2 linked regions of the Drosophila melanogaster genome follow. The protein of the gene in region 1 interacts with the protein of each later gene in a pairwise test. Each region holds a gene or a part of one and is shown in the gene's direction. Other genes may lie near its edges.

Evidence for each region.
Region 2: the proteins of anox (region 1) and CG15343 interact in a two-hybrid assay, tested with the Drosophila melanogaster proteins (one large-scale study listed by BioGRID).

Annotation. Positions count from the first base shown.
Region 1 is NC_004354.4:21,317,144-21,321,070, reverse strand, and holds anox (anorexia), read left to right. Parts: upstream 1-1,774; 5' UTR 1,775-1,848; intron 1,849-1,857; exon of another isoform or gene 1,858-1,930; 5' UTR 1,931-1,943; coding exon of another isoform or gene 1,944-2,216; 5' UTR 2,217-2,275; coding exon 2,276-3,007; 3' UTR 3,008-3,135; downstream 3,136-3,927. Other genes in the region: SLIRP1 (SRA stem-loop interacting RNA binding protein 1), read left to right, coding at 1,944-2,216; Rpt6 (regulatory particle triple-A ATPase 6), read right to left, coding at 3,468-3,927.
Region 2 is NC_004354.4:8,271,640-8,275,614, reverse strand, and holds CG15343 (uncharacterized protein), read left to right. Parts: upstream 1-1,808; 5' UTR 1,809-1,860; coding exon of another isoform or gene 1,861-2,067; exon of another isoform or gene 2,068-2,203; intron 2,204-2,396; 5' UTR 2,397-2,407; coding exon 2,408-2,922; intron 2,923-2,993; coding exon 2,994-3,120; 3' UTR 3,121-3,291; downstream 3,292-3,975. Other genes in the region: CG1636 (uncharacterized protein), read right to left, coding at 253-347, 407-906, 989-1,335, 1,861-2,067; CG1632 (uncharacterized protein), read right to left, coding at 3,496-3,675.

The DNA of each region.
Region 1 (3,927 bases):
TGTGTATAGACTAACAGTTTTTTTTTAACAATCTAATTATGCATACATACTTGTCCATATATGTAGAGACCAGCTATTTTTATTAGACATTTTTTTCGCTTGTTTTTTTGGGTGTATATTTTGATTATAATATCAAATAAAAACTCTTGAACACAGACAGTATATAGTATAAAGTATATATATACAGTATACAGTATATATATGAATGTAAAGCTGAGCAGAAGGCGAAGCCACAACATAAAGAACAAATTTGTCAAGTTATATATCATATTATTGTAATTTAAATCTAAGGCCACTTACAACAACAGTCTTGTAATTTCTATACCATGATAACAATTAACTATTATGACACTGGAGTTGTTTTTGTGCAGATACGAACTAACAAGACGAAGCAAAATACTTATAGTTATACAAATTAGTTAATTACGAAACTTAACTTGGACATCATTATTATGGATAATTATTAAATATGTAACCGATTCTGTATAGACTTACGTACGTTCTGCCCTTGTTTCCTGTACAAAACTAAACGGATGAAAGATCTTCAAGAGTTTCATTGCTTGCAAACCAAACATAACACTTTTCTATGGATAAGATTTTTGGGGAAGTTATATATTTACGACTAAGCAACAACCCACAACTATAAACTACTATTAAAGTAAACAACAACCGAGGAGCAAGCAAGTAAGGCAAAATTTATATTTTGTAAGGCGAGCCAAGTAGCGAAAAGAATTAAAAATCAAATTAATTCTGATAGGATCGGATCAGATCAGGTTAATGAGCCGCAGACTGGGACAGATATATATAGGGAGTTTAGAGAGCCAAATCACTAATTATACGAGAACCGAGTTAGTCTGAGAATTGAGAAATCGTGGCACATCATCCGAAGCATCACAGGATATTCAGGATATTCCGGGCAGCAGCAGAGGAATTAGGCGAGAGACAAAAAGAAACACGTGAAAACGGCTTCCATAGTTAATGTTATTTCCAAAAGCATAAATACACCACTCTAAACTAAACAACAAAAGCTTGCACACGCCCTTACCCCTAACCCCACCCTTATCCACTTGTTCTTTTGATCGTATTGTACATTTATAACAATCAATATTTGTTTATTTATTGCAAGGAAATCGAGAAAGATACGTGTATGCGATGTTGTTAATTTTAAGTAGTTGATAGCAAATTTGTTAAACTGAAGAGTAATGAAATAAATAAGAAAGGGAAAGGGAAGGGAAAATCAGAAAAAGAATTACAAAAATAAAACAAAATCATGCAAAATCAAAAATAAAAAATGTGTTTTCTTTGATCTGCCGTTTGAATTTGGCGCTCCCTTTCCGTTCTACAGAACTTCGTCGCTTAACAGATTGCTAGTAAGAACCTGTTAGTGCGAATATGTGCTGTTAAGCGCACAAATAATGAATGAAAGCAGCTTATGCTTACTAGACATCAGCGATTTGATACTCTATTTGGATGAATATTATGACATTAAGAAAAATGATTAGCACGATAAAGATTTAAATTAAATCGATTCTGAGAGATTAATCTATTGAAACCAATAGTTTTAATTTATAGACATACAAAATAATTATTCTATTTGCATGAACTACTATTTTAGGAGTAATGTAGCTTAGAAGTCATTACATTGGCTTTCAAACCAATTGATTACATTTAACTAATTATCTGTACGCTCCTCTGCAGTATTGATTACATATATGAACAAATGTACTCCGACATGTAGGGTAATAGCACTGCGCTGTTAGCTGCCTCTTTGAGGTTATGTCTCTCTGTCGACAAAAACAGCAAGTTGACGTGAAACAGAAACGCAGCAGTATTTACGCAACGCAACTGGTAAGGAGTCGCCGGGAATCCAGATCGCCTTGGCTGGAAGAAGCAGAAAACCATATTTAATTCGAATTCACACCTCATTTAGCAAAACCGAGTCCATGGCCACCGCCGCAGCTGTAGCAAAAGTCGGAAAATCAGTGCACCGCATTTTCGTGGGCAATCTACCGTGGACAGTGGGCCACCAGGAGTTGCGTGGCTACTTCCGCGAGTTCGGACGCGTGGTGTCCGCCAACGTGATCTTCGACAAGCGAACGGGGTGCTCGAAGGGCTACGGTTTCGTTAGCTTCAACAGTTTGACCGCGCTGGAGAAGATCGAGAACGAGCAGAAGCACATACTGGAGGGCAACTACCTAAACATACAGAAATCTTAGATTCCCCACTTTAATTGTCATTTAGTTTATAAGCTCAGCAGATTTTTTTTTTTTTTGACATGTCGGACAGCGATACGGACACCGTGGACGAGCTTTTCCACCTTGCCACCGAGCATGTGGCCAAGCAGTCAAACAGCATTGGTTCCGCGGACCTTTTAATATTTTACGGATACTACAAGCAGGCCACGAATGGCCCCTGCAAGGAGCAAAGTCCGGGTCTGCTTCAACTGCAGGCCAAGAGCAAGTGGCAGGCTTGGCGCAATCTGGGAACAATGTCCCAGTCCGCTGCCCGGCAGGCCTACGTCCAGAAGCTGCAGGAGCTTCAACCCAACTGGCGGTCCCGGCGCAACCCAGGCTGGGTCGTTCATTCCATTGAGTCGGTCCCACTGGAGGACCAACGTTTGGACAGTGAAAAGACCCTGTTTGACCACGTGAAGGAGAACAATCTAGACAGGCTGAGGGAACTGCTGCAGCCAAGTGACTTGGTTAAGCTGGACGAGCATGGCATGGCGCTCATCCACTGGGCTACCGATCGCAATGCCGTCGAAATCATACAGTTCCTGGTGCGGAGTGGGGCCAGTGTAAATCAGCGAGATGCGGAGCAACAGACTCCGCTGCACTACGCCGCCAGTTGTGGACACTTGGAGGCGCTCCAATGCCTGTTGGAGCTACACGCCAGCCTGGAGCTACGCGATTCAGATGGACAGACTTGTTACGACGTGGCTGACGATGAGCAGATCTGCCAGGTGCTTCAAACGGAACGGGAACGACTCGCTGGATCCGCGTCCTAATGTCAAAATCTTAAGTTGTTCGGTGCTCATTTGCTTTAAAAACAGCAAGGTGTTGTGAACCATTGTAAATCTCCGACAAGTCCCCTGTAAGTTCTTTGGAACTATAATAAACATACATACATAAATGTAATTTTGGAAGTACTTTCCTTTCGGATTTTTAGGAATCATTGAGATCGAAAAAACATAAAAAAGAAAGAGATGGATAACCTCTCTTTTTTTGTTCTGATCAAGCAGCCAGTTGAAAACACTGCAATGTACTTTTTACAAAGCTGCTACTGTAATCTGATAATCTATTCAATTCTTCAGATATCATTGAACGAAAGTTATCTGTGAAGATCATAATTGGGTTGTGCGTACTGACTAAGGAGTAAATCCAATGACACAATAATGCATTTATGTTACTAACTGATGTATTTATTGAAAATAATATAAGGGTTCTTTTGCAATGGCCGATCAACGCCTACTTCCACAGCTTCTTGATAGACATGTTCTTCTCCGAGTCCTTCTGCATCACCTTGGCCACAGCCATCTCGAAGTCCTCCTGGGTGACATGGACGCGTCGTTCGCGCAGCGCATACATGCCGGCCTCCGTGCAGACGCCCTTGACTTCCGCACCTGATGCGCCTGGCATTAGCTCGGCGATCTTGCGCAGATTAATGCCACGCGTGAGGTTCATCTTACGGGAGTGGATCTTCAAGATGTCCAGACGCGCCTCCTCGTTTGGTGGCGGGAACTCGATCTTGCGATCAATACGGCCGGGACGCAGCAGAGCGGGATCCAGGATGTCAATGCGATTGGTGGCCATGATCACCTTGATGTTCTTGGTGGCCTCAAAGCCGTCCAGCTGGTTAAGTAGCTCCAGCATAGTACGCTGCACCTCGGAATCGCCGCCGGAACCTGACTCAATACGCGACGAGCCA
Region 2 (3,975 bases), about 13 Mb from region 1:
TTTTCAAGTGTTAAATATTCCTATTTTTTGATTACGATCTGAATGTTGGCCAAAACGCACTGTTCGCGCTGATCGCGTTCTAGCTAACACGCATAAACCGAAATCAGCCTGAGTGAGAGAGAGAGAGAGAGCGCTAGTTTCAACTTTGTGAGTTATTAGCCTAAGCTGAACTTGTGTCTTTTTTGGTTTGGTTTAAGGAAATGTGGTTTTCTACTGTGTAAAAGTGTGCTGCGTCCGTGCGGTAGGACGCGATTAGGTATCAATGGCCTGGTCATCGTTGTCATCCTCCGGCTCATGGCCACGTCCCTCGCGAATTCGCTTCAATTTGCGCTTAAGCATCATGACGCCTGCCAGGGAAAATGATTGTTAATCAGATATTCAACATCGGTTAGTGCAGGAAGCTTACATTTTATGGCCTGAAAGGTTTTGGCCGAGGCCGAACTGGTTTCGGAGGGCAGCGAATTGGACGTGGTTCTAATGTGTGCCAGCTTTACCTCCAAATAGGCCTTCTTCAGTGTCTTGTAGTGCCGGAACTCACTGGTGTCCTTGACCAGGATGCACTTAGCCGCCGATCCCTCGCCCGAACAATCCGACGGCGCTGTGTGATATATCTGATGGTAGAAGTATTGCAGCACCGGCGAGTTCCAAATGGAGAGGCCGTACCACAACCAAATGGGCACATTCAGGGAAAGCTTAAAGTTCTTGGCGAACAGCGTGGGTATGAAGTACTTAAAGGGCAGTAGGTTGACAAACACATACGCCCACACCATGATGCGCAGACCGAGGAAAACCTGGTAGATGATCCGGTGTGAATTGGTGCTGGGCAGGACCAACAGGGCTAGCACCTCGGTGAGTATGCTGTACAGACCCACCGTTAGATTCAGGCCCACAAAGTAGTTTTCGTACCTAAAAATAAAGAGTATTTAATATTTTCGAGCTTAAATGGCTCCAGGCTAGAATGGTAGGGACCAAACGTGTCTCGACTTGCCTGTAAACATCGATGGCGACGAGGGACAGCAGGTAGAGTCCCTTGGAGCCCACCTCCAGGAAGTCAGCGTCCTTGAAGTCCAACCACGCCCCATGCAGGTAGAACGTGATAATGAAGATCGAGTAGAACTGAAACTTTTCCGCCTGATGAGATCGATAGAAGATCAGGTTCTCCGAGGAGTAGAAGAGCGAGTAGCGTCCTTGGTTCTTCATCAGCTGCGGCAGGATCATGAACTCGTTGTAGAAGTGCAGGAACAGGCAGCTGGCCGCATAGAAGGCGATGTTCCAAATGACGCGGGCGAACAGCCTCCGCTGAAAGTGCTTCATGCTCGACGACTTCAGAAAGAACTGAAAAGGGAGAGGAGCAATTAGTCGAGCATTGGTCTTGGGTCACTACAGATAATGGTTTATATGGCTTATGGTCAGCGCCGATGGGTCGACTGTCACCGGACTTATGCTATCACCAAAGCCAGGAGCGAAGTGCCAACCGAATGGGGAAGGAAGTACATCTGAATCCCTTAAACAATGACTGTCGGGAGTAAAATCAATACTATCTTCGCCTTATATTGATTTTACAAGAGACAACATATTTAAATAATAATCATTTACAGCTTAGTTGCAAGCCAAAACAATACAAAAAGTGCCGCATTTCGTTGTGTTTTGAAGCTTTTCAAAGGGTTGGTAACAGTATTTTTAGCGCCCCACTCGGTTGGCACCCCGTCCACCCCCGGAATGCGCGAATCCGGCACCGTGTCCGCTCTGTTTATTTATAAACGGCAAATTGGCCGAGCAACCCCTCAAAAGAAAAGTGCAATTGGAGGCGCCGCGTCGAGGGTGCTGCGATTGAAAGGATTTGCCACGTGCTGGACCCACCTGGAAGAGCCGCTGGAAGGCGTAGTAGCCGCAAGACAACGCCACGAATATCCAAAAGACCCCGTTGATCAGGTAATAGAGGTCTATGTCCCGCACCATCGAATCGAAGCGGTCGTTGGTGATCAGGTATTTCAGCGGCAGAAAGAAGTTGCTGATCTCCGCCCAGTAGTCGGGCGGACCGGCCTTCATGTCCAGAATGGAGGTCATGCTGCTCCTCGGCGGGATTTCCCGTTCTGCCGCCCCAGAATCGCGAGTTGGTGTTCCTCGTTTTCAGCCGAAAATTGGGAGAATTTGTTTCGTTTCTATGTATCGATAGTAACCGATAGCTTCGCAAATATAACGTGAAATCAACGGCTATCGATTATAGAACCGCTGCAAAGTACTGCGCTTCTGTTACAGTGCTGTTAGCGTTAACAGCGCGCAAAGTGCGCCAAATTTGAATGACAGTACATTACTTCAGTTATAAGGGGCTTTACCAATTAACATTAAATGTGTATTACATTTTCAAAATGTATAAGAATATTTTTCGCTTCAAGGACCCACCAATATGACCTCCTCTTTGGCCAAAATCGAGGACTTTCCCTCCGATCCCGTTGAATTTTTTAAGGAGATCCTTCAGGAAGCTGCCAAGGGACATCCCGATGGATTCATACAGGAAATGAACCTGGCCACCGTGGACGAGGAATTCGGTGTGCTCAACCGCACTGTTCTGTACCGCGGACTCACCCAGGATAACTGTGTGTTCTACATCACCCATCGGTACGTTCGCAACTTCAAGAACCTTCAGGCCAATCCCAAGGCCTGCATCACCTTCTATATGCCAGATGTTAAGGATAAGGCCGGAAATCAGAATGCCTGGCAGGTGAGATTGATTGGAGCCACCGCCGTGGAACTTGACCAAAGCGAAATGGATGCTTTGTGGGCGAAGGAGAATTTGGCTGCCCAAATCAGGGGTCACATCTGTCCCTGTGGAGAACCGATTAACTACGATGATCTCAAGGCAAAGCACGATCAGTTCCTTCTGGATCACAGAGGAAAATCCATCGAGAGACCAGCAAGCTAGTGAGTTTCGAAGTTTATATGTATATCTATATTTAGTAAATTAACATATACATAATTACAACTTCTTCTAGTACCGCTTGGAAATTCCAACCGCAGCGTTGGGACTTCCTGAAGGTGGGTCTCGACCAAATCGCAGACCGGGTGCAGTACCGCCTTCAGAAGGATGGGAAATGGAAATCCATGCACGTGTCCACCTAATTGTGGTATACCCCCAGTAAAGCCATTATCTTGATTTTGGACGATTTCATTTTATTCAACAATATCTTTCTACAAACAGCTAAACGTACAGACTAACAACTAAATTTGCTTCCTTTTCGACATGTTTAACATACAATTACAACATAGTTAATAAATATTACACAAAACAGCAAAAAAAAGGACGTTTAAAGAATACAGTTAGCATAGAGTTACATAGGTTCGAGTAACATTAGAGCAGGTTAGTTACATAGTACATATGCTTAATTGCCTTACTTGCTTTGCTACACACACACATAATACCCAGTGAGTTTCGGTTCCGTTTTCTACACAAATGCGCTGAGGGGCGTGCCGCCGCCCCCTGGTGAACTATCCCGACTATATCGCGCTGATCGTCTCGCGGATCCAGGCGGCATTCGAGGCGATCTTGTCGTACATCCTGGGCCGCTCCACGCCCGTGGGTCCGCACGCGATCCGCCAGGAGGAGACCCCAATGAGCGCCCACTGATTCGTTCCGGGAATCAGGCACTGGACAGGCGCTCCCGAATACTCCTCTTGCTGAAAATGAACAATATGAAATTCAAAATATAATAATAAAATATAATTTTGGTCCACTCTAAAAAATGATATATAGTTTAAATTTTGGTTGCCAACAGTTTCTGTCCACTTTCAAATTAAATATTTTAAAAATAATTTTGTAATATTATAATAGGATCCACTCTGTTTTTTCAATATTTCACCATTGAATTAAACTCGTGCCACCCCAATTGGCGATCGTGACGTCACACGCACGCGACATGCAGCAACGCGCTTGGCGTAGAGCAACAAAAACAAGCAGTCGAAGCAATAACAAAGTTG